Arabidopsis thaliana: one gene and its partners. The protein of the gene in region 1 interacts with the protein of each later gene in a pairwise test. Each region holds a gene or a part of one and is shown on either strand. Other genes may lie near its edges.

Evidence for each region.
Region 2: the proteins of AT1G65690 (region 1) and AT1G49230 interact in a protein complementation assay, tested with the Arabidopsis thaliana proteins (one large-scale study listed by BioGRID).
Region 3: the proteins of AT1G65690 (region 1) and COR413-PM1 interact in a protein complementation assay, tested with the Arabidopsis thaliana proteins (one large-scale study listed by BioGRID).

What each region holds. Positions count from the first base shown.
Region 1 is NC_003070.9:24,428,770-24,437,454, reverse strand, and holds AT1G65690 (Late embryogenesis abundant (LEA) hydroxyproline-rich glycoprotein family), read left to right. Parts: upstream 1-4,289; 5' UTR 4,290-4,556; coding exon 4,557-5,019; intron 5,020-5,517; coding exon 5,518-5,813; 3' UTR 5,814-6,038; downstream 6,039-8,685. Other genes in the region: AT1G65710 (serine/arginine repetitive matrix-like protein), read left to right, coding at 1-398; LSM8 (Small nuclear ribonucleoprotein family protein), read left to right, coding at 1,585-1,621, 1,717-1,757, 1,851-1,925, 2,269-2,345, 2,627-2,678, 2,758-2,810, 2,902-2,992; EXPB6 (beta expansin 6), read right to left, coding at 6,785-7,109, 7,318-7,511, 7,888-7,994, 8,120-8,138, 8,554-8,580. UniProt on the Arabidopsis thaliana protein: Plays an important role in the abiotic stresses-induced abscisic acid (ABA) signaling and biosynthesis. Acts as a positive regulator of ABA-mediated seed germination inhibition. Functions downstream of ABF2/AREB1, ABF4/AREB2 and ABF3.
Region 2 is NC_003070.9:18,204,785-18,213,294, forward strand, and holds AT1G49230 (RING/U-box superfamily protein), read left to right. Parts: upstream 1-4,409; 5' UTR 4,410-4,535; coding exon 4,536-5,195; 3' UTR 5,196-5,393; downstream 5,394-8,510. Other genes in the region: AT1G49220 (RING/U-box superfamily protein), read left to right, coding at 1,162-1,917; AT1G49225 (uncharacterized protein), read right to left, coding at 1,528-1,671, 1,755-1,879, 3,006-3,076, 3,834-3,868, 4,361-4,363.
Region 3 is NC_003071.7:6,946,292-6,954,721, reverse strand, and holds COR413-PM1 (cold regulated 413 plasma membrane 1), read right to left. Parts: upstream 4,872-8,430; 5' UTR 4,560-4,871; coding exon 4,390-4,559; intron 4,305-4,389; coding exon 4,197-4,304; intron 4,114-4,196; coding exon 4,043-4,113; intron 3,955-4,042; coding exon 3,710-3,954; 3' UTR 3,697-3,709; coding exon of another isoform or gene 3,662-3,696; 3' UTR 3,530-3,661; downstream 1-3,529. Other genes in the region: AT2G15980 (Tetratricopeptide repeat (TPR)-like superfamily protein), read left to right, coding at 1,877-3,373; AT2G15960 (stress-induced protein), read right to left, coding at 7,136-7,369.

The DNA of each region.
Region 1 (8,685 bases):
GTGTTGCTGTTGTAGAACTTACGAAAGCTCCTCAAGTTGTGTTAAGCAGAAGCAGATCGTTGAGGAAATCTCGAGATTTCGATTTGGTATCAAACGAGGATAACAATTACACTGCATTGTTGTTGAAAGATATTCAGAGTTTTCATGGGAAGAGTGTTGATGATAGCGTGATTTCGCTGCCATTGTGTGTTAGTAAAGCTTGTTCAATTGTTGAAGCAGTGGCTGATCTTAACTCTATGACGAACAGAACTTGTTTGAGGTCTGATTCGAGCCGGTTTAGATTCACATCGACGGTGAAGAAAGCCGATCTTATGGAACCGAGTTTTGAGAAGTATGTGACTGTGAAGAGAGGTGGTGGTTCGTTGGAGGAATCATCTGGTAGCAACAATGTTACGTGACTAGGGAGATTCACTTTTAGCAATAACAGAAACTCGTGTTGTTGCGGTTTAATATGGAGAAATTGTTGTTTTGTTTGTCTATTGTTGTTTCCTTTGTTTGGTTTATTTTGTAATTCAGATGTCAATTTGACAATTTCAATGAATCTTCTTCTTATCTTCAGTCTGGCATAAAACCCAAAAAACCTGTATCGGACCCGAAACCAAACCAAATAATCATATAACCGGAGAGACTTTTAAATAATTTTACACGAATTATCCCAACTGAACCCGAACAGAAACAAAAACCAAACAGTATATCTGAAAAATCGAAACAATATCTACATATTCAAAATTATTAGATGTTTTAAATTATAATTATACCTTAACCAATTAACAAAAATATCCAAAAATATCTTAGATATATTATATATATCCAAAATATCCGAAAATTCTTAGTATTATACCTAAACTAAATGACAAAATTATATATTTTTTGTAATTCAATTTTTATTAAAATTTTGAAAAAATATGTAGTTTTTTCCAAAAACCGAACCAAATAATCATAGAACCCAAATATATACTAAATTTTTGTATCGGATGAATCCAAAAAATCTAAACTGAATCCGATCTGAACCCCGAACCATGCATACTTGGTGGATTAAACAGTTCGGTTCAGGTGAAAATTTTCAGAATTGTCGGTTTCGGATAAAATAACTAAACCGGATAAAATGTTCGGTTCGGTTTGAGTATTTCTTTTAACATTTCGTAGTTAAAAGCAACATCCAAAAGCAAAAACACACGCCGGAGAGTTTTCTAAGAACAACAGTGACGAAAAGGTTTTTAGGGTTTCTTTACCAATCAGAATCTCCGCCAAGTAACGATTTTCAGATTCCGAAGCAGCAAAGGTTAGAGCTTTTCCCTCATACGTTTCTTCTTCTGAATTCCTTGAAACCCTCCGGTGAACCAGAACCTGTTTTACATTCGTTTTCTATTCGGTGGTTTCTTTTAATTTAGGTCAAATTACACTGGAATTATCATTTGTTTCTCGTAATTCTGGATTTATGTTAAGTTTGGTGAAATCTCTCGTTGAGATGGATACGAAATCTATTAATTTTTCATTGTTATCCGTAAGCACACCAAGTGTTCGATGAAATTCCTAGTCTAATTTTTAGTAACCTTTCAGTTCAAATAATTTCCGAACTGTAACATGGCGGCAACTACTGGACTTGAGACTCTCGTCGATCGTAAGTTAGTCTTTTTTTTTGCCATTCTCGATTGATATGTGATGTTCTGTCACATGAATTGTCTAAAGATCTTATCTTTTGATTGGTTGCTGCAGAGATTATTTCGGTGATTACAAATGACGGACGCAACATTGTGGTATGTTATACTCTCTTGTGTGATATCTGGTTTAGAACTCCTTATGTCAATGCAAGTATCTTAGTAAAGAGATCGATTTTTATATTTTTTCAGGGAGTTCTTAAAGGTTTTGACCAGGCTACAAATATAATCCTTGATGAATCTCATGAACGTGTGTTTTCCACAAAGGTTAGCTTCTGATTCCTGTTTTAAAGTATTTTCATCTGAACTTTTCGATGTTACTAAATTGAATGGGTGCAAATACATTTTTCTGCAAGTAAATTGGCCAGTGTATGACCTGCAAAACCTTGTTGGTTTGTATCCATGAGTGGCTATGATGTAGCAGAGTTCTCGATGTCTCCATATTTTGTTTGTAGTGATCGCATAAAACTAGAAAAATAGAGGTACTATAAGGATGCTAGTTTATCTTTTGTTCATTGTCACTCAAAGCATCTTTCGTCGTCTGGTATTGATCTTTTAATTGGTACTACGTTCTTGCTAATAATGTACATTGCTTGATTTAGTTGCGTAGTGTCATCTTTTCAACAGAATATTGAGGAAACTTACTCAGATATTTAAGATAGGCCTTGTCCTACAGTTCTTTGTTTGGTAAGAGAATAGTGAATCATGAACTAACTGGCCTCTGAATGGAAGTATCTAAATCAGATAGTGTTGGATACACCGAAACAGATTTAGTGTTAGTATTCTTCGAGTGTTATAACTGATTGAAAAAATCTTGTGAGTTCATATGTCAAAAGATTTAGCTAGTGATAGGTAAGTCAAATACGTAGATATTGGCAGTGTGTAATTAATTATACATGATCACCTCCTTTTTTTCGTAAGAGGGTTAAAGGTTTGATTCATGTCTGTTTTCTTGTTTACACTAAGAGTATGTCAGGTCATGTTGATACTTCATTAGACAAATGTTCTTGGATATTTTTGGTGTGAAGGCAGAGTTCTGTTAAAATGATGGATATTGGAATTAGGATTGAGACCTCTTACTATGTCTTCATCTTTGCAGGAAGGAGTACAACAACATGTGTTGGGTTTGTACATCATCAGAGGGGACAACATGTAATTCTTATCATCCATCATCATCAGTGATTTTCTAACATTGCAATTGTTTTTTTGTTTCAATAAAAAAAATGGTGTCATCTTTGATCAGAGGTGTTATCGGGGAGCTGGACGAGGAGCTTGATGCTAGTCTGGATTTTTCGAAGCTGAGAGCCCATCCGTTGAAACCCGTAGTGCATTGATTGAATATAGTTATGGTGAGAAAATCTAATTCTCTCATTCAAAGCCTAAAAACAAAGAGAAGATTTGATTGTAAACAATTTGGATAGTTTGTTTTGATGTCTGGAGTTGTCTTATTTGTGTATCCTAAGGACAAAAGCTATATGATATTTTATGTCTTAAACGTTTTGGTCGGAAACTTAAATCATACAATCTTTTGGACGGACCTAGGTTTGCTACTAGACCACAAATTCTTTGATTAGAAAAAAAACTTTTATTGTTAACCAAAATTTTATAGATATTCAAATTGCAAAAGAAAAAAAAAAGAGGAATTAGTTTCTGGTATCTTACAAATTATAATGTCGTTGCAATTTCATCTAGAAGGATTATATACATCATCAAATCTATCAACATCAACAAATGGCCGTATTTAAAACTTAGAAGCATCATACATTTTCTATAAGACAACAATATAGATATTAACTTAATATGTCATTCTCCCATAGTCGCATCATACAAGTCGTTGGTTTTGGTAATAACTCGCCAAAACCAAACACTTCTGATTTCATCGGAGTCTTGGGTCTTCTTTTACGATTCCAATGTAATATTCTTCATATTAAGTGATTTATTTCTTGAAATTTTTCATAGTAAGTGTTATCAGAAGCTTTTGATTTTTGGTTATTAATATGAAGAACAAAAGAATTGCGTTCTAAAAATTTTTCGTTGATAACGATTAATATTAAACAGAAACACTACAAATAAATTAACATCGTTGGGGCCTAGGGATTTCGAATGGAATTTTATTTGCAAAAAAAATAATAAAATAAAGCATGTTAACAAAAAAGTAAAAGAAAAAAAATTCATGACGAAATGCATGAGAACACTGCTGCATAAGTCTTAGGGGATTAGGTCAACAAAAGTAAAGTAGATCTTCATCAAATGTATTTTGACTTTATAATGTACCTATTAGTCAAACTATATGCGATCTAAATATTAAAAACTTGTATTTTCTCAAAGACAATGCGAGGCGTAAATATATGAAATTTTATTTTGTAGATTAAGTACCATTTATATATGAAATATAAATAAATCAAGAAGAGTAAACATGAAAGAGCAAAAGAGTAAATAGAAAAAATTATAGGAAATAAAAAGAAACAAATAGTAATTGGAAAATATCTTAAGTGGATATAACTTTTAGTTGTTTGATAATGTATAGGACTACAATATATGTATTTTCCAAAAAGTCATCCTAATTTTTCCATCTATATTGCAAGTAATTTGATACCTACTAATGATTTTTATTTTTTTTATTTGATGGGTTCACATCAAACTCAATTTCCATAAAAGACCGCTACCTAAGCAGACACGCAAATTCACATTACACGTGTGATGTGTTGTATGGAAGCGAATGTACTTGTTTTTCATAATCTATAGGTTCATATAGAGAAGTCTCTCCATTGAAAAGTTCTTCCCTCTTGACTTTAAAAACTCCATAAGGTCCCTACTTATATTAATTTCCCAAACCCCTAAATAAGATCTACAAACAAAGCTTCTTCTTCTTCTTGGTGTCATCAAGATTTTCCAAAAATGTCTCAACACCAAAAAATCTATCCGGTCCAAGATCCAGAAGCCGCAACAGCGCGTCCAACAGCTCCTTTGGTTCCTCGTGGTTCCTCTAGATCAGAACATGGAGACCCATCCAAAGTCCCTTTGAACCAAAGGCCACAACGGTTCGTGCCGTTGGCTCCTCCAAAGAAGAGAAGAAGTTGTTGTTGCAGATGCTTTTGCTACACGTTCTGCTTTCTTTTGCTTCTTGTCGTTGCAGTAGGCGCATCCATTGGTATACTATACCTTGTCTTTAAACCGAAGCTACCGGATTACTCTATTGACCGGTTACAGCTCACCCGGTTTGCACTGAACCAAGACTCGAGTTTGACTACGGCTTTTAACGTGACTATAACCGCTAAGAATCCGAACGAGAAGATTGGAATTTATTATGAAGATGGGAGCAAGATTACCGTGTGGTACATGGAACATCAACTAAGCAATGGTACGTCACTTTTGGTTTACTCCGGTTTGCTTTCTTTTGGTTTTTTAACGTAGGAAGGCTTCAAAATCTCACTACAAAACCGGTTTATTTGGTTGATTTCTGTTCTTTTCCTTTGGTTTGGTTCGTACACAAGGAAGACTTTAAAACTCTTTTCAAATTAGGGATGTCTAAATTTTTTTGGTTGGCTTTGGGTTTACTTTCATTTTGGATTAGGATTGTCAAATACTGTATATCTTTAGTTTCAAACAAAATTTGGTTTAGATAGTTTTTGTTCGGTTCATATTCAATAGTTCGGATATAATAGAGTTAATTCATTCAAATCAATCGTTTTTGGTAGAGTTGGATCATACCGGTTTATCCGGACTGAAAACCCCAAAACTAAACATATTTATTTATGTTGTTTGGTTTTCTTGTTTGATTATAATTCGTTTACACCATTTCAAACCGGGTCTTCTTATAGATTTAACTTCATTGAACTTTTGTGATTTTTTTGAATAGGGTCGTTGCCAAAATTTTACCAAGGACATGAAAATACGACAGTGATATACGTAGAAATGACTGGTCAAACACAAAATGCATCGGGTTTAAGGACGACATTAGAAGAGCAACAACAAAGAACCGGGAATATACCATTGAGAATTAGAGTAAACCAACCGGTTCGGGTCAAATTTGGGAAGTTGAAGCTCTTCGAAGTAAGATTCTTGGTCAGATGTGGTGTATTTGTTGATAGCTTGGCTACCAATAATGTTATTAAGATTCAAAGTAGTAGTTGCAAATTTCGTCTTAGGTTATAGATCCGTTTTTTTTTATATAATTAATATCGAGATATACAGAGGGAATTTTGTCAGATATAGTCACATACTCATATATAGTTCTCCTCTAAAGTACATTATTGTGTCTCAGACCTTTGTTGTATAATAAACTGTTGGTTTAAATTAATATATTAAAGTATACAATACTATGTACATAGGTGGAATTCAAAGTATAGTAGTTGTAAGTTTTTAAAACCAGAGCATGTCCACCACTCCACCTTACCTTCTTTTAAGCAAACAATTGGTTGAAGGTAGACTCCAAAATTCAGTTTTAACTACTTACAACTTAAATTGGAGGTAACTCCAAGATCTTAGTTATGAATTCAAATTTGCATTAGATTTACTTGTTCCAACAATTACTTCTGGTATTCTAAAGCAAAGACCAAACTCAATAAATAAACCTTATGGTAAGACATTCCAAGCAACATGAAAGAGATAATAAAGAGACATAGATATATAGAACAAACTGAATTTTTGCGAGAAGAGAGAGACATGTAGAAAAGAAACGCTAAAAGAACTTACACAAAGAAGATTCATGTACTTAACTTGTGACAGTCCTCTGTAACAATTTGAGAACTATCCTCATGAAGTAAGGTCCTGAATCAAAAGTACAAAGAAACAAATTCCTAGTTCAAGTTATATACCAAACCGAAGTCTTTGTAGTTGTACAACCAGTTTCAGGAGGAAGGCTACCTTTGAAAGGTATTGTAACACTGGCTAGAGAATGAGCATAATGTCGATAATTTTTCTTTTGATGAAAAAAGATTTAGAGAATGGCAAAAAATATAATATATGCGCTCATATTGGTGGTAAGTCATATATCTTTCTATTATTCGTTACTATATCATAAGCTTTGTATATTATTTGGCCAAAAAAAAAAAGATTTGTATATTGTAGTTTGACTAGAGAAAAACAATGAAATGTGTCGGATTTCAAATTTGACAAAGAAAACTCTACTTAAAGTTCACAACTGAACGGTAAGTTTCATTAGGTTTCCAATTCGCCGGAATAACATTATAAGCTAGGACTACTTTATGAGATTCAGCAGAAGTAAGTCTGATGTTGAATGGTCCTGTTAGAGGACTGCCAGAGCTGATCTTCCATACAGCAGACCTCATTTCTTGCATGGGGATGAATTCTCCGTCGGCTGGTTGAATTTCTATATAGGCCAAATCTCCATCACCGTTTTCATACTCGACAACAAATGAAATGTAGTACGGATTTGCTCCAGGGTCCATACGGAAAGCTATGTTAGTTCTTCGATATAAACATTCCACGCTGATCAAAAAACAATAGTCAATATTTTGATTCGTATATCATAGAAAATAGTTGAATTTTAATTAAATAATATTTCTGTAAAGATAATAACAAAAATGAAAACATTGATTTCTTTGATTTATCAAAAAAAAAAAATTCAACTCAAAACCTAGATATACATACTAAAAGGAAAAATTTTAAAACAAAAATTATGTAAGTATATAAGTACCGTCTGTAGTAAACACGTAGAACACCAGCCGATCGAAGTCGATCGCCTTGGCCAGGTCTGGCTAAGGCACCCATGGCTTTGCCGCTAAGATCAAAGTGGGCTGGTTCAGAGGCACAAGGACCACCAGGGCATTCGTCGGTTATCGTCACCGTTATTGGTCTCCTCGAGCATGCTGGATGCCCATTGCATAGAATCTGATAAATAAAAATGTTAACATATACTATATAGTTGATGAAAGTAAAATCTTGTTGTAACCATATAACATACATTCAGATCTTGCATGCTATGTCAATTTTTTTTCCAACCCAAATTTTTAATGTTCATTCTGATTAATTAAAAAAGACATATGAACTGGTCATTTTATTGAATATAATTACACAATTTTTTTTTACGTTTTATGAACAATCTTAGCTACATATATATAAAATTGTATCATCTTTTCTGAAAATACTATTCTAACTAATATATTACCTAAAAAGCATTAACAAAGCTGACCAAAAGGGCATAAATTCTGTGTTACATACGTAACACTATGCTCTTGAGTCTTGCCCTATATACATTCATACAAACCTGAAAACATGTTCCACATCCTATTCCATTGTTGAACACTGAAGGACCTCCAGCTGAAACCATCCCGTATAATGGTGGATTAGCCACTGCGAAACCACAAGCTCCTCCTATATATAACCATATATATATACACATTTAAGCATCATATATATTCATATAAAGAATTTACTATTCTAAAATGTATGTGTGTATATATATATATATTGTTACAAATATGTAATTTTGTTAGTACCGGTGCTACCGGCGCCTAACTTAAAGAAACAAAGACACACACGATTTAACGAGTTCACGTTCCTCAACCGGAATCGCTACGTCTCGCCGGAGAATCTCTCCGGAAATCCACTAGAACCTTTCTTTACAATGTATCTTTACAAGTTTTCTCTCTCTAGTTCTCTCTAGAACTTGATTACAATTCTCTCTCTTTCTCTATCTCCGATCTAACAGAATTACAGAGAAGAAGAAGAAGATATAGTTACAGAGCTCATGCGAAAAGACCAAAACGCCCTCAAGCTTGTTATGACCTTAGTCAGCTCGCCTCACGTGTTATGACTTTAGTCAGCTCGCCTCACGTGTTATGACTTTAGTCACAACAGACTTCGAACCCTCTCTTTCACCGAGTTTCTCCCACACTTAGACCCGAAAACTAAAATCTGAGTCACTTCTTACAAATGGAAAATCAAGCTCTCCAATCATCACGTACGAAAGGTAAATTTAAGGTAAAACTTAAGTCTAAACGATAAATGCATTCAAGAAAGGAAAACAAAATGTGATTTATGTTAAATAAATTTTGGTAATTGA
Region 2 (8,510 bases), 6.2 Mb from region 1:
TGTTTCAAAATACTATCTTAGTGCTTTAAGAAAATCTTGGCCACTTATTGGCCTAAAGACCTTGATCAGTAAGATAGATTCATGTCTAACCTTTTTGTAATATAACATATATTGTAACTATGCTAATAGTATTATAAAGAAAGTTTCGTCGACATACCGTTATAAAGCAAAAGAGCTGCTACACAATAGGCTCTGCCTATTCATCCTAGCACATACCGAAGTTCTCTACATTATCATGACAAGAAAAGATATTTAGTAGGAACGATGAACAAATAGATATTTAGTACGAACGTTGAATAAATAGATATTTACTCAACAGATATTTAGCAGGAACGATGAACAACTAGATATTTACTTAACAGATATTTAGTAGGAAAAGTACTTAAAAGTACACCGAGAGACAAACACTGAGAATAGGCGTTCAAGAGTAAATGATTAAAGAATAGGTTCCACCAAAGAAATTCATAGATTGAAAATCAATAATGGTACATGCATAACTAAAAAAACAGGATTAAAGCTCTGTGTTTCAGTATTTCCAGTTTCTTGCAAAAGTGAGCTCTACTTATAACGTTCCTGAAATTTTTTTAATGACACTTTAAAACCCATTGGATCCAAACTCTTACTTGAGTATTCCAGAAATATTCCAATTCTCATGTTATTTCACCTCAAGAGAACCATATACATGCAGACATTTAGATACTTGGGAATTATCAGAATAAAATTTGCAAATACTACCCAGACTTAAACATATAATAACGTTAATCAAATAGAATCTAGCTTATCAAGACTCAACACAGGACAAAAATGATAAAACAAAGTTTTATAATTTAAAGTCGGGCATAAATAAATGATTTCCAAATTTAATGTTGGAAAAGTGATAGTCCCTATACACAAGCATCTTAGGGTTGGAGGAGGTATGGGCCAATGGCACAATCAGCACTCAAGTCTCATTTGAAGAAAAAAAAAACTAAAAAGAAGAAACCCCACTTTCTTAGAAAAATAGTATTAGATAAAATACTCAGTCCCCACAGTAATCAGTAAGCATCTCGAGCTATATTTAAGACAACTTTGAATTCCTCAGAACTTAAGAAGCAATAACCAAAGAAAGCCAACAAAGCATAGAGAAGCGACTTTGACCTTAAGCTTTCTCAAAGAGTAAAAATGTCTGCAAATGAGTTACCTTCTTCAGCTCAAGCCTTCCAAGAACAATTCCTTGGCGGTTTTGTCTCTAGAAAGCTGCTTCTGCACAACCCATTTGACCACAACACTCAACGAGCCTTTGCGGTTGCACCATCTCCTCTCATAACCCATGAGAACAACCTCAGTGGGAATGTTATGATGCTTCTCTCAATCCTCATTTGTGGCATTATCTGCTGCCTCGGGTTACATTACATCATTCGTTGTGCACTCAGACGTTCTACACGTTTCATGATCTCCGAGCCTGTACCAAGTCTTTCGTCAACACGGGGTTCATCAAACAAAGGAATCAAGAAGAAAGCTCTTAGAATGTTCCCAGTTGTGAGTTACTCACCTGAGATGAACCTGCCAGGGCTTGACGAAGAGTGTGTCATTTGTTTGTCTGATTTTGTTTCCGGTGAACAGCTCAGGCTGCTCCCCAAGTGTAACCACGGGTTCCATGTTCGTTGCATAGACAAGTGGCTTCAACAACATCTGACTTGTCCAAAATGCAGAAACTGTCTGGTTGAGACGTGCCAAAAGATATTAGGTGACTTCAGTCAAGCTGATTCAGTTACGGCAGAACCAACAGAGATCGTAATTGTCACGATTGTTCCTCTAGAACCAACAGAGATCGTAATTGTCACGATTGCTCCTCTAGAACCAACAGAGATCGTTATTGTCATGATTGCTCCGCTAGAACCTGAAGGAAGAGTAAACACTATTAGAGAAATCAGCTAGATGCAAAGAAAGACAGAAACCATCAGCAATTCAGAATTTGTACTTCTAATTTTTTTATGACTTTCTTTTTACCTGTAGCACAAAGTGTATACAGAGTGATTATGTTTCATTTTCAGTAGCATCTCATGAGTCCATCAAACTTCCTTTGTAAAACTATTTTTACGGTGGAATGTGAATTTTGCAATCTTATCCAAAAACATCAAGATTCATCTGATAACCAAAGATTGATAAGTGCTGGTCGTATATTCTTATGTGTCATATCAGTACACTGAACCAAAACGTCACTAGACAGAATAAATGGTTTCCCAATAACTAATGCCAAGAGTTAGTTGTGTGAAGAAGCAGTGTGTAGTCTACCATATGGAATTATGGTCCAGACCTGGTCCCATGTACTCTTGATAATGACAAAAGCACAAAGTTTGTGAAACAAAATTACATCTATCTACATGAATCAACCCACTTAATAATTAATCTATATGCCTCAAAACCGATCCACACGCATAAGTCATCAAAATAGCAATTACCATGAACAAGACAAAAAAGATAAAAAGATATTAGTAAGAACTATGAACAAATAGATATTTACTTGACAGAAAGAAATTATTAAGTAGGGAGAATGATCAAATAAATATTTACTTTACAGATATTTAGTAGGAAGAATGACCAAAAAGATATTTTATAGATATTTAGCAGGAACTAAGAACAAATATATATTTAATCAAAAGTTCACCAAAAGATGAACACTGAGAAATGGCGCCAAAGAGTAAATGATTAAAGAATAGGTTCCACCAAAGAAAGTCAATAATGGTACATAAATGATTAAAAGACAGGACTAAAGCTCTGTGTTTCAGTATTTCAACTTTCTAGCCAAAGAGAACTATAATTAAAATGTTTCTGAAACTTTTCTTATGGCTCTTAACACCCACTGGATCCAAAACCATTTCCAAATCATAAATGCATCCAGCAAAAATGTTCTCAGAAATATTTCAAATTCTCACCAAGTTGCGTTATTTCACCTTAAGTCGTGTCGTGTGATTTCACCTCGATATGTTGGTAACATTTCACTTCCATCATTCAAAAAAAAAAACGGTGAATGACCAATTTTAGTTTGGATGATCTTTCTGTCTGTTCAGATTTCTCATCTTCATCCATGTTACCCCTGCAGTTTTAAAGTGAATGAGTATCAAATTAAGATATTCCCAACAAACGAATCATTATAGCATATAACACAACAAAAGTAAAGTTTATTTGCTTTAAAGAAGGTACCAAGAAAACAGACCACTATATATATTTGTACCAGTTATATGTAACCTAATGGCACAGACAAAAGAAAAAAGGAATCCATTTCCGAGTGAGACTGGTGAGAAAAGATAGAAAAGATGCATCTCCTACTGTGTAACATCAACTTTTTATCCCAAAGATACACAATCTTCCCTAATCTAATGTTTCACTAAACCAGCTATTAGGAAAGTAGCAAGAAACAATGTTATACAAAAGCACATATCAAAGAATCTTGCTTTGATTTTGGAGCTACAAGAAAAACATTAGATACTAGATTCATGTAGATTTCCCTCGCAATTTGCAACCAATGGAAGAAGATATCTCATAAAGCAAACAAAAAGAATCATTTTTTATTCGTTCATCCGTGGGACCAATTCCTTTACCTCTGATTTAAAACAAAGGCATGTAAAGATAAAGAGAGAGAGAGAAACTGTTTACTGAAAAAAAAGCAGGAGGTGGATACTAATGCTATGAGAGTGATAAAAGTAGCCTTTAACAAGATTGATTGGGAGAGGCTTTGTCCTTTTGGCTACTCTATGGACAACTTGAGTTACTACGAATGGGGTGGATTCCTGTTCCCCAAACATAAGTAGAGTTCACTAAATGGAAATATTTCATCCGTACACTCTCAAAACCGCACAAAATCAACAAAACTTTTAAGATTCCACCACTGTTAAAAAATAGCAAAAAGGGAAAGAAAAGAAAAGTTAAATCAAACCTTGCTTTATATATGAGAAACTCCTTTACAGGTTAGACACATATGTGATATATCACTGGGTCAGAACTATCTACCGAAACTCGGTTTTCATCAAGACCATAAGTAGAAAACATATATTATAAGCCCTAACAGGCTAATATCAAGGAACAGTGAGATATCAGTAAAATGAGCCAGGAGATATTAATATTTGAATGCTGCTATATCAAAGATAGGGAAAGTTCATGGCTGCTCCAGTTAAAAAGCTCATGGGTCCCTAGAAGCAATTCTGGGAGATATGATTTGCTAAGGCCACAGCCACATGGCACTACTATTGCAGCAACTGGTATGATGGACCCATTTTATATAACAAAGCATATTACGCTGCAAATGATTTTATAAAATTAGACACTAAAGGTAAAGGTCCATAATGTGAGCTTGATCTTTATAGCTTCTTATTCATCCAACCATAAGTTTTTCTAAATGAAATATATAAAAAAAAATTCCTCATTAAATATCTGAAAAAAAATTGAAACTTTACCTTTCCTCTATATAAACAATTAGCCTCCAAACCTTTACTCTATATAAACAACCTCCAACGGAAACACAGAAAGCCACCAATCTATCTTAAAACTAAGTTATCATGTGCACTACCATTTCCATTTCCATTTCCACCATAAAACCAACTGAGATCTTTCAAGAAATTCTTGGAAGTTCTTACTCAAGAAAATTACTATTTCATACCCATGATCAATCACCAACTCCAGCACCATCCCCATATGTAGGCGATAACAACTTTGATGCAAATGTTGTTATGGTCCTATCAGTCCTCTTATGTGCACTTGTTTGCTCACTTGGACTCAATTCTATAATAAGATGTGCCTTGAGGTGCTCCAATTTAGTACCATCTGAAGCTGGTGGTGACAACTATCCTGTTCGCTTGACCAACACAGGAGTCAAACGAAAAGCCTTGAAGAGTTTCCAGACAGTAAGTTACTCTACTGAACTAAATCTGCCTGGCTTAGATACCGAGTGTGCTATCTGTCTCTCGGAATTTGTAGCCGAGGAACGTGTGAAGCTGTTGCCGACATGCCACCATGGATTCCATGTCCGTTGTATAGACAAGTGGCTTAGTTCACACTCGTCCTGTCCCACCTGCAGGCACTGCCTCATCCAGACATGCGAGAAGATTGCCGACTGCAGCCAAACAAGCTCGTTAAACTCTACTCAACCACCACAAGACAGCATCATTCTCCAAATAGCACCACTAGAACCGGAAAGATGGATACGCTGGTTTAGGTGAACTAGAACTAGTCACCTAGATATTTGTAGCAGCTATGATTAAACTACTATGTTTTAGAATTATTTGAGATTACAAGCGGTCTACACTTAAAAACAAGTTTAGCATTTCAACTGTAAAGTTGTAAATATTACGAGAATGTTACTTTCTTCATATCTTGAACTACTAAATGTTTATATTTCACAGTTACAAGCCAATAAAGGAAAATTTCATTAGATCTGCAAATACTCACACTGGAAAACAAAACATAAACAATTCAAAAATCAAATGTACAGGATGATGAGAAGGAAAATCACTGAAAGGCTTAAAGCAATAGTTTAGTGGAGGTGGCCAATACACTTAGTCAACTAAAGAGAGATGTCATAATCTTTACCATTATGAAGTTTCAAGGTTATTAAAGTCAGGCTCTGCCACTAGCTTATTTTACTGATTATCATAAGGGTTACTACACTTTTATATAAATCATACAATAACATAATGTACCCTTCCAGAGGTAGAAGAGTCTTCTTGCTTTGTTATTGAACAAATTAAGTTGTAGGCTGTGACAATGCGAAGCCCCGGAGAAAAATGTCAAGGCCCACAAATGAGAGAAACATGCAATAATATAATCCATCGAAAGGAGAACAAGAGAGAGAGGTCACCACCATAAGAAACAGCACAAAGCGAATGGGGTCCGAGGACGAATCCCACCATATGGTCAAATCAAATAATACTAAAAGGGGAGGTTCAATGTTATACTGACCACATGAAGAAAATGAGTGACCACAATAATTCAACAACCGGCATTTACCAAGATCAATTTCATAGATAATGGATTATGAAGAGCTGCAATATCAATTACTTAGAAGTAGAACTTTAAAAAAAGCAGTACGTGTAACAGTACTTTACTGACTAGCTAAAGAGAGATCCTTAGTAGTAATCTAGAAACTCCCATCAATATGGTCACTAATCTCCAAATAAAGAAATTGATAAACAAGTTATGAGGTGGACGAACGAAATTGTAAACCCTAGATACCAAAATGGGGAAACTTTGCATCAACCAAATGAGATTATCTTCTGAACTAATTACGTATCGGGATTAAACAATGAACAAGAAGAAGTAAACAAGAGTACATGAAATTGAAAAAATCAAGTTTCGCTCCAATCAAATTGACAATAAGGAGACAAAGATACGAAGTTCAAATGAAGCTGTACGAAAATACCCAGAAAACTATGTGAAAAATGGGGAATTTTCTTACCGTATTCGTTGATGAAGATCTGCTGAAGACGACGAAGTAGCAATGTTCAGAGATTGTTCGCTTTGTTGGCGCCAATGATTTTCAGAAATTCTCTCTTGAAACCAATATCGGATCTTCCATAGTTTCCACTCGGGTCGGCTTTTAACGGGCCCATTTATATAAAGCCCATTTAGCATTTTTCCTAAATCGGGTGTTTTTCTTATATCAAAATAGAAAGGGATTTTTTAAAATATCTCTTTGTTGGTTATAGTTTATAAACATTTGGTTTAACAAGTTATAATGAATGTGGTGAGCCACTCATTACAAGAAATTATTTACAACCACATGAGAAAAGAAAAAAACACATAGGCTATTAATGGAGGCAGCGGACAAAACGGTCTAATTTATCTGCGGTTTAGTCCATTTCATTTTTGGGATGGATAATAAACCGTTGCGGAGCAAGTTTATTTGTATGTAAAAATAGTTCGCAGATGGTCCGCTGCGGGTTTTTTCTTTTTTTTTTTGTTTGGACCACTGCGGACTATAATTGATGAATGAAAAATAAAAAGCGGTTTGATCCATTGACGGTTGTGTCCGCCCCAACCGCCGTAACCATTCACAACCCATGTTGTAAAACCAAGAATAACAAAAAAGATTGTTAATTGACTTTTTCCGATATTATATCAAAACGTGGCCGGTCATATAACTTATATATATGTATTATTATATATCAATGGAGTGTCAGTTTAATATAGTCATGATCATGAGTAATGTAGTTTCATAATGATGGGGCACAACGTTCTTAAGGGTAGTACTACCAACTCAATTTTCTCTCGGCATGTGCTGTACACATGGTTCATAAAGTTGACTTTTGGATTTCCATCTCACAACAGCTATTTCTTTTCCGGTTTTCTACCGGTTTGCTCCGGTTAGTGGACCAACGTTAAAAGTTTAGTTATGACAGTTTCTTGGGTTCTACACATCTTTTGATTTCTATTTACCCTCGTAACAAAAATAGAAGATTTTGTAGTTTTCTTTTAATGGTACCTACCTCATGTGGATTGTAACTACCTTTTGTTGGATTCATTATTGTAGGTACATATATTTGTGGTTTATATCCATCCACTCTCTTATATAGATCAAAAATATATAACTAAAAAATAAATTTTATCCCCAAAATGTAATTTAACCGAATATTTGATTATTTTCTAATCCGATTTTTAAATTATATTTGAATAATTTTGGTTCTTCGGTTAGATTCGGGTAGTTTAATTTTGGCTAGGTTATCGATGGAAACTAGTTTAAATTTGGTAAAAAACGGTATAATTGTGGTATAATCTGGTTATAAACAACATATAATTTAGTTAACTGATAAGTGATAACTGAACTAAAGCAAAATACTTGGTTAATTGAAGTAAAATTCAAATTTAACCAATCTGTTAAGGACATGTAACTTTTCAAAGCGAACAGCTAAAATCTTGGTTCGGCCCAATTTGGTTATTTCAGATCGGTTATTCATCCCATGGCTAATCTGTACTAGATGGTCAGAATGGTAAAGACTCCAAGAAAGAGGCTGGTAAAGATAAAAACCAAACGTTACATAAGTGATGACAAGCAACAAAGTTACAAAGAGGTGGTCTTAGGGTTCTTTGGACTCTCCACATAAGTGGTAATGTTGCATGACACCTCAATTAATCTTTTAACTAAAAACATAAATAATTGGTAGCTACAATACAAAAGTTCCCATCTCTTAAAATTCAATTCAATTTTGTTACACAATGAAGAGCTGAGGTGAGCTGTTGTACATATATAATTGCAAACTTTTATAATATTGTAGTGGACTAGTGGGTACTTTACCCAAAAAAAGAAAAAGGAAAAATGTAGTGGATGTGTCTCAAAGCCAAGACAAATTACGAGATATAGCTAACAAGTACTGCCTCGTATATCTGATGTGTACCTCTTTGTCCTGTATTAACTAATTAACTTTATATTCGAAATGAATGCATAATTTTAAAATACGACGATTATTTATGTTGTATCTGTTGGTAATTTTTTTTTTTTGTTATACCTAATAATTTAACCCGTGTTTGTAATTAATACG
Region 3 (8,430 bases), on another chromosome or scaffold:
ACGGAGAATGCTTCGATAAATCTGAGGAGAAACAGAGTTCAATAGCCAAGACTTCACCATGCTATTACATCTAGACCATAGACGAAAATTCAAATCTGATTCTAAAGGACGAGATAAAGTTCCATCTATGAATCCAGTTTTGTTCTTAGCATCCAAAGAAATAAGCATAGCAACACTCCAGTCACCATAATTCGTTTCATCAAGGCGATGAGAGATTATGTTCAAACCTGGATGATCTGCACTATGCAGGAAAAAGGGAGATTGAGTCGGATCTCCAGATTCCGATGATGTTAAGGCTCGCGAAGCTCCAGATCTGTTAACCGGAGGAGAATTCGGAGGAGTAGTAACAGCACCGGTGGATCGCGACTTCCGAGTCACTGAACTTGTACCAGCTTTCGAGCGAGTCGATTTCCGAGTCACACGAGCTACCGTCACCATTGGATCTTAAGGAAATGCAACGAGGAAGACGAATCGGAGCTCAGAACGAAGAAATCAAGTCGGAAAAAAAAACGATGGAGATGAGAGCGTTGTTGGCTCTGATACCATATTACGAAGAAGAAGATCAGAGAGAGTTTGTTGAGGATATTAATCTGATTTTCTCATTCAATCACATAATGTGTAATGTACATGTATTTATACTATAGCTATACAATTGATTTAAGTTAACCAGCTAAACCGGTATCTAATCTGATAAGCACCTTCATCAGCAGTATCTAGAAGAGATATTTATTATTAAAATAATATAAAGCAGTGAAAAAGAGGAGAGAGAAGTGAGAATCGTCTCTGTGTTTTTTCAGGAATTGTTGATTTTATTTTTTAATTAAAATTTAATACTTTATCTGAATTTGATTAAAATAAATAAAATTTTATTCATGAGAAACTCTTTTTGAGAATCAACGATGTAGATGGCCTAAGTTTATTAAATATTTACCTTTTACTAAAATACGAAGGTTTAAAAACCTATAAAGAAAAAGTTAAAATTTAAAAAATATTTTTAAGAAAGGTGAGATTTTTATTTTTTAAAAAATTGAATGTAAAATTGTATTAAACCAAAAAATGTTTTTACAATGAATGCATCTGTTTTTGAATTATATTTTTGAAAGAATCTTGAAGTGATAAAAAAAACTTGATGACTGCCTTACGGAATGGAGCTGAGGGTGAGCCACTCCATCCGTCCGTAGTCGTAGTTTCTGTCCATTGTTTCACGTATTGAGTTGAGTCGATTTCTATGTTCTTGTCGATGAGCTTGAGTAGCCGGTTGTGAGTTGATTTTATTTCCCCATGTCGCCTTGCGTTTCTTTCCCTCCAAATGCGGTAAATCGTCGATTGGAAGACATACCTTAGGAGGAAGAGTTTAATCGGAGGTAAGAGTTAAGTTATGTAGAGAAGAGAGAACCTAATTCTAATTGGTGTGGAAGTCAATCCCACAAAATTTATGCGTAAGAAAAGCCATATTTACGATGAGTATCAAAAAGAGAAGAAGAGGTGATTTTTTCTCTCTTCAACATTATAACAAAAAACATTGTCTATCTATTAGAAATGTGGCCTAACTTAACCCAAAAGCTAGCTCAAGAGTTAAGAATTGTGACATCGTTTATATAATACTTAAAAATCTTAATCCCAAACAATGTGAAAAATTCTGATACTATCCGATCATGTATCAACCATGCAAAGAAAGAGAGTACTCGGGAGTTGCATAAGAGAACCATATATATGTCTTTGGGCCAATAACCCCACGTATATGTTTCTTTCAGTTCATAGTTAGCTAAGTTTATGCAGGAATCGGCTGTTTTGTCAGATTTTTTTACCCAGTTTTTCTCCAAACCAGAGTATAAAACTGTGAGAGTTCAACTCGAAAGTAAAAGAAACTTTTAAAATGTCAACTTCAATACTAAGACGGATACTCGACCCGACCCGGAAACCCAAACCCGATGCAATCCTCTCAATCTCTCTCCTCACTACCGTCTCTTCTCCGCCGTCTCCGCCATCAGATCCTCTAATTTCCGACGCCGTCTCAATCCTAACACACCACCGCTCCAAATCCCGTTGGTCCACTCTCCGATCACTCCAGCCTTCAGGCTTCACACCTTCTCAATTCTCCGAAATCACTCTCTGCCTCCGCAACAATCCTCACCTCTCTCTCCGTTTCTTCCTCTTCACTCGCCGTTACTCTCTCTGCTCTCACGACACACACTCCTGCTCAACTCTCATCCACATCCTCTCTCGATCTCGTCTCAAAAGCCACGCTAGTGAAATCATACGTCTCGCTCTCCGTCTCGCCGCCACCGACGAAGACGAAGACAGAGTCTTGAAAGTGTTCCGTTCGTTGATTAAGAGTTATAATCGATGTGGCTCTGCTCCGTTTGTATTCGATTTGTTGATAAAATCTTGTCTTGATTCGAAAGAGATTGATGGAGCTGTGATGGTTATGAGAAAGTTAAGGTCTAGAGGAATCAATGCACAGATTAGTACTTGTAATGCTTTGATCACAGAGGTTTCTAGGCGTAGAGGTGCTTCTAATGGATATAAGATGTATAGAGAAGTTTTTGGTTTAGATGATGTTAGTGTTGATGAAGCTAAAAAGATGATAGGTAAGATTAAGCCAAATGCGACCACTTTTAATTCGATGATGGTGAGTTTTTATAGAGAAGGTGAGACTGAGATGGTGGAGAGGATATGGAGAGAAATGGAGGAGGAAGTTGGATGTTCTCCGAATGTTTATAGCTATAATGTTTTGATGGAGGCGTATTGTGCGCGAGGTTTGATGAGTGAAGCGGAGAAGGTATGGGAAGAGATGAAGGTGAGAGGAGTGGTTTATGATATTGTGGCTTATAACACTATGATTGGTGGGCTTTGTAGTAACTTTGAAGTTGTGAAAGCGAAGGAGCTTTTTCGAGATATGGGGTTGAAGGGGATTGAGTGTACTTGTTTGACGTATGAGCATCTTGTTAACGGGTATTGTAAAGCGGGGGATGTTGATTCGGGTTTGGTTGTTTATAGGGAGATGAAAAGGAAAGGTTTTGAGGCAGATGGTTTAACAATTGAAGCGTTAGTTGAAGGGCTATGTGATGATAGGGATGGACAGAGAGTTGTTGAAGCTGCGGATATCGTGAAGGATGCGGTGAGAGAAGCAATGTTTTATCCTAGTCGGAATTGTTATGAGTTGTTGGTAAAGAGGTTGTGTGAAGATGGGAAGATGGATAGAGCATTGAACATTCAGGCTGAGATGGTTGGGAAAGGATTTAAGCCGAGTCAAGAGACGTATAGAGCTTTTATCGACGGGTATGGAATAGTAGGTGATGAGGAAACATCAGCATTGTTGGCCATAGAAATGGCTGAATCACTCAAGCTAAGAGCAGAAGAAGAAAGCTAGAAAAGTTGAGCTTCGTTGGTAAGCTGGTGAAGCAAAGATGACAAAACCACATAGAAACCAATTGGTGACACAATGTGGACAAGTTTTGTGGTGGTACGAGAAAGCGGTAAGAAGTGGTACACATTGTAAGATGATACAACGTTACCCATTAAAGCTATAATGATGAAAGAGGAGATTTATTCCACACTAACACCTCATGATGATATCTTATTGCTGAAGCAATTCTTATTCAAATCACATTCATTGATAGAGTTACGAGGAGAGACAGATCGTACAAAGCAATCACTCTTACATGAAAAAAAAAAGACAAATGGAAAAAGAAACTGAAGAGTTAACTTAAAAGATAAGAGCCCAGACGGGGAAGACGACGAGACAGATGATCCCGACGGTGTTGGAGATACCATTGGCTTTAGTAAATGCATTTCTGAATCCACCTGAAGCTCTAATGTGTTCTTGAAGCAAGTAACATCCAATACCTAAACATATAGCTAAACCAATCCAACTGTCTCTGAATGTGCCAGCAATCAAATTTGGTGCCACCACGGCGAGAAGAACCAAAGCCACCGGTAATTCCAGGTATTCTAATAACACAAACAACAGAGATAAGCCAAATCAGAATCAAAGTCTTGTTGCTTGTAATGGAGAGTGAATGAAAAAAAGTAGACAAACCTCTGGCGTGTTTAGGAAAGAAGAGTTGTACAACAACAGCTACGAAAGCAATCCATTTACCAATTTCTCCTCTGTCAAAGTTTCAGACACAAGTTAGGGTTTAGGAACATAATGATAAGTAAAGAAAAAGTCTCTGGCTTTTGTTGTGTTATACCTGAAAATACCAAAGATCAAGGAAGGAAGACTGAAGAAGATGTAAGGAATGAGAAGTGATGTGAGCATATTCGTCTTCCAATTGGTTCGATCCAACACCAACAAGTATCTGCATTTATTACATCAAAACCTCATCAAGATCAACACAAGAAACGGATAGAGGAAAGAGACATAGAAACAGAGAGAATGGTTACATGGCGGCGATTGAAGCAACCCATTCGAGGACAGAGGTACCAAAGCCTAAACCAGTGAGTGTGAAGGCGTGTGTAGCTAGGTTCTTAGCAGCGATAGTGAGCTCGTTGAAATCGGATCCGATCATGGCCTTAAGGGTTCCATGGTCATTCCTCAACGACTTCATAGGCATCTTTTCTTGCCGGAGAAGAGAGAACTATGAATAATTGATGTGAGAAGAGAAGAGAGTAAAGAGTAGATAGATGGTGATGAATGTGTTGGAAGACTTTGGTTATAAAGATATTACAAGTGACTCGATGGATACGTTTACGCCACGTGGCAGTTATGAAAATAGTTTAATTTGGACGAACTAGATATTTTATCTATATTAACAATGATATAGTATAGTTTACTTAATAAGCTAATCCGATTTCTGACATAGACCTTAGACACATGTCGACACCAACTTCTCACACATGAACGTTCTAATAAGTTTGCTTTAACAAATGTAATTGGTGGACGTAAGAAACAATGGGACGAGCCAGCTGTCCAGTTGTATTTTTTTTTAATGATAATATTTATTACAATGCAAATAATTAGATATGTTATGGTGGAATCTCTTAACATGGATATATTAAGAATGGGAAAAATCAACATCTAAATCATAGGGTATGTCGGTATACATTAAAGTCAGAGATCGTCAAATCCAACTAAATAATAACAATATGCTTCAAGCAGATTTATTATATTTAGCCAATAAGTTGTATGGATTCGTTGAAGTTTTCATTCTATAATTAGACCATATGGTTTTACAGTTTTCTACTGTAAATGAATTCACAAAAATCTAAATTAAAAAAAAATAGAAAAATACTTAATTATAAAGAGATACTAGTTCGATAATCATATATGTAACTAAGTATAAATAAAACCAAATAGAAAATGTGCAAGTAAATTGTTGAGCTAAAAAATCAGATGAGATGGATCAAAATCCAATCAGTTAATGGTTACAAAAAAAAAAAAAAACAGAGTGGCAGAAGTTATGGTTTTTAATATGATTATGTGATGTCGGCAGAAGATTTGTCTTGAGTAGGACCAGCCAAATAAAAATAAATTTTGTTTTACCATATTAAAGTTGTTGTTGACGGAAAGAAAAAAATGTAACATGCTCCAGAATCGTAACAAGTAAGAGAGTATCGAACTCTCATTACGGTAACGAAATACAGATTCATCCCTAGCATAACTACATAAGCGACATAAGCTATGAATCAGAGTCCAAAATAAAATTAGAATTTTTCGTTTTTCAGTTCTGATTTTTTTTAAAGATTTAAGCCTAAAACCTAAAATGTTTAATAACTCATGAGAGTTGAACCCAATTTTTTCTTTTTTCTTTTTCGTTTTGATGATTTTAGTTTTTAATCAGTATTTGTGATCTTTCCATATTATATTTATGTCGTTTATGATAATTAAAAATAAAACTAAAATTTTACTTGGAGTAAAACCCTCAATATTGTTGGATCGGTCCTGAATATGACCTCACTAGTTGTTACTCGGTTAAAGAGTATCACGTTAAATAAGCTGCTGAGTGCTGACACTACGCTCCACAATATCCATATTAAATAATAGAAACTTAGTTTAACCAGAACGGGAAAAATGTCATTTAAATCACGACTTCGCAATTTGTGGTGCTTTAAACATAAACTTTGTACTTTGTGATTAAAATCATCAATTACGTGTTGACTTCAGATAAAATCACTAACTTTCGTTGACAGAGCCAAATTAGTCACAACATCAACTGAATAAACAGAGCAATTAGAAGATGTGATTTATCCGTTAATGAGACCGTTTAAGAGCAAAACGACGTCGTTTGCAATTGAAACAAAAACAGGAAAAATGCCATATAAATCATGACTTCGCCATTTGCAGTGCTTTAAAGCATGAACTTTGTGCCTTGCAATTCACTTTGATTTCAAAATACAGGAGTGAATTCGAAGAAGAAAAGAAGAAGAGATTTGAGGATCTAGGGTTTCTTATTTCTGAATTGGGGATTTTTGTTTCAATTGCAAACGACGTCGTTTTACTCTTAATCGTACTTATTAACGGATAAATCACAGCGTTAATGAAAATCTAGAATGGCCTGTAAAAATTCTCCCATATATCTAATTTTGAAATAATTTTGCTGGAATAGAGTTTAGTTGATAAGATACACTTCAAGTGTTTTGTGTTGAAGGAAAGAACTATATGATCGTCATGTGGATCAAAAGCCCAAAGCCCAAAGCCCAAACCTTTTGTAACCGTTGTTTCCGTCTGGGCCAAAAGCCGAAAGCTCATTTGGTATCAATAAAAAAAAAAAAAAATCGTTATCTGTATTGAATATTGATGATATCTTCCAGCAATCTCATTCATGATTGGCCACTTCAAAATCTTTCAATCAAATTTTAGTTTTGGGTTCCCTCAGAATTCCTACGTTATTAGAAAAATTATAATCATTTCTTGTTTTATTTCTTACTGAATGATGCGAATGTTCCTAATTACAGAGTGAATAGAAAGTTCCATCTTCATATAAATCCCGGTTAATAATAATTGAACACTATTGATTAAAGTAATAAAAATATGTTTCTCAAACACATTACTTTCACAGGTTTACAAGGAAACTTAAAAACATGGTCTGCACAAACAAAATCTGATATATAGACATACTACATGTAGTTTCTAGATATATATATACACATCACCAAAGAAGAGATCTAGAAGTAGTTGGGTATGGAAAGATCACCAAGGAACAAAACGGTCCATGAGAAGACAAACAGTGAGCTCAGACATAGTTACAGCTTCATTTTTCTCTCTAATCTTTTGGTTAATAAGTCCTCTTTCTTCTTCTGATCCTTGTTGTTGTTTGGACACAACAGATGTTGAATTCTTCCTTTGCATCAATGGATTTCTAGTGTTTATCTTCTCACTCATCTTCTTCATCTCTCCCACCCAAAGCTCCATAGCTTTTGCCATTCTTTCCTTTTGTTGATCTTAATATCTCATTATGAACGAGAGAGAGAGAGAGAGAGATGCATGTGAGCTTTATGTAGACAAAGAATAGGGCCTTTTGGTCTTTTGGACTTGCAAAACCATGACAAGTTTGATTGGTGTTTTCAAATAATTGTGTTATTGACACGAAAGTGGACAATCTGTTTTACACTTTGGCACCGTCCACGGTCCAACTATAGAAGAGTTGTCTTTTTGGTATATATATATGTACATAGTTTCTAAATTCTAATGGCTGGAAAAATCATCAAAATCCAAAAAATATCTCTTTGGCCTTCTTGAATTTTCCATATGCACATACAGTTTCAAATCATTGAAACCAAAAAATATCTCTTTCACCTTCTTGAATTTTCCACGTGTTCAAATAAATAAAAAATTCCACGTTTTCAAATACTTTATGATATAGTATAAATATATTTAGTGTTGAATCATATCATCATCCGACCTTAGCTCAGTTGGTAGAGCGGAAGACTGTAGTTGTTTAAAACAGATAATCTTTAGGTCGCTGGTTCGATTCCGGCAGGTCGGATCTTCTTTTTCCTATTTTTGACGAATTCATATCTTTGTGATATTTGTAGTGACGTGTCGTTAATATCTATATTGCTTTATTCGTTGCATTTGGATATGGTCTGGCCCAAGCGAATCCTATTGTCTTATCTTATTCTTTTTTTCCCAACCCCACTTGCCAATAGTTAGATGTATCAAATTCAAAGTCCTTCTCAAATAATAATAACTTTAACCAGCAGTTTACCGCGGGCAATCGGTTTATTTGGTTCTTATACTAAATATTTGAATAAATTTAATATCTTAAATTTATAAATATAAATTTCTAGTGATTAGTGAAGAATCGTAATATATAATTTGAATATTATTGATTATTGATTTCGTGATTGAATATAGTATTTTCAGGGATGGAATGTGATCATACTTTGATTTCAAAAACGACATAGATTCCTTATTTTTGTTGAACATTTTAGATTGAAGGAAATTAATTTTATTGAACGGTTTAGATTGAATCGGATCATGTA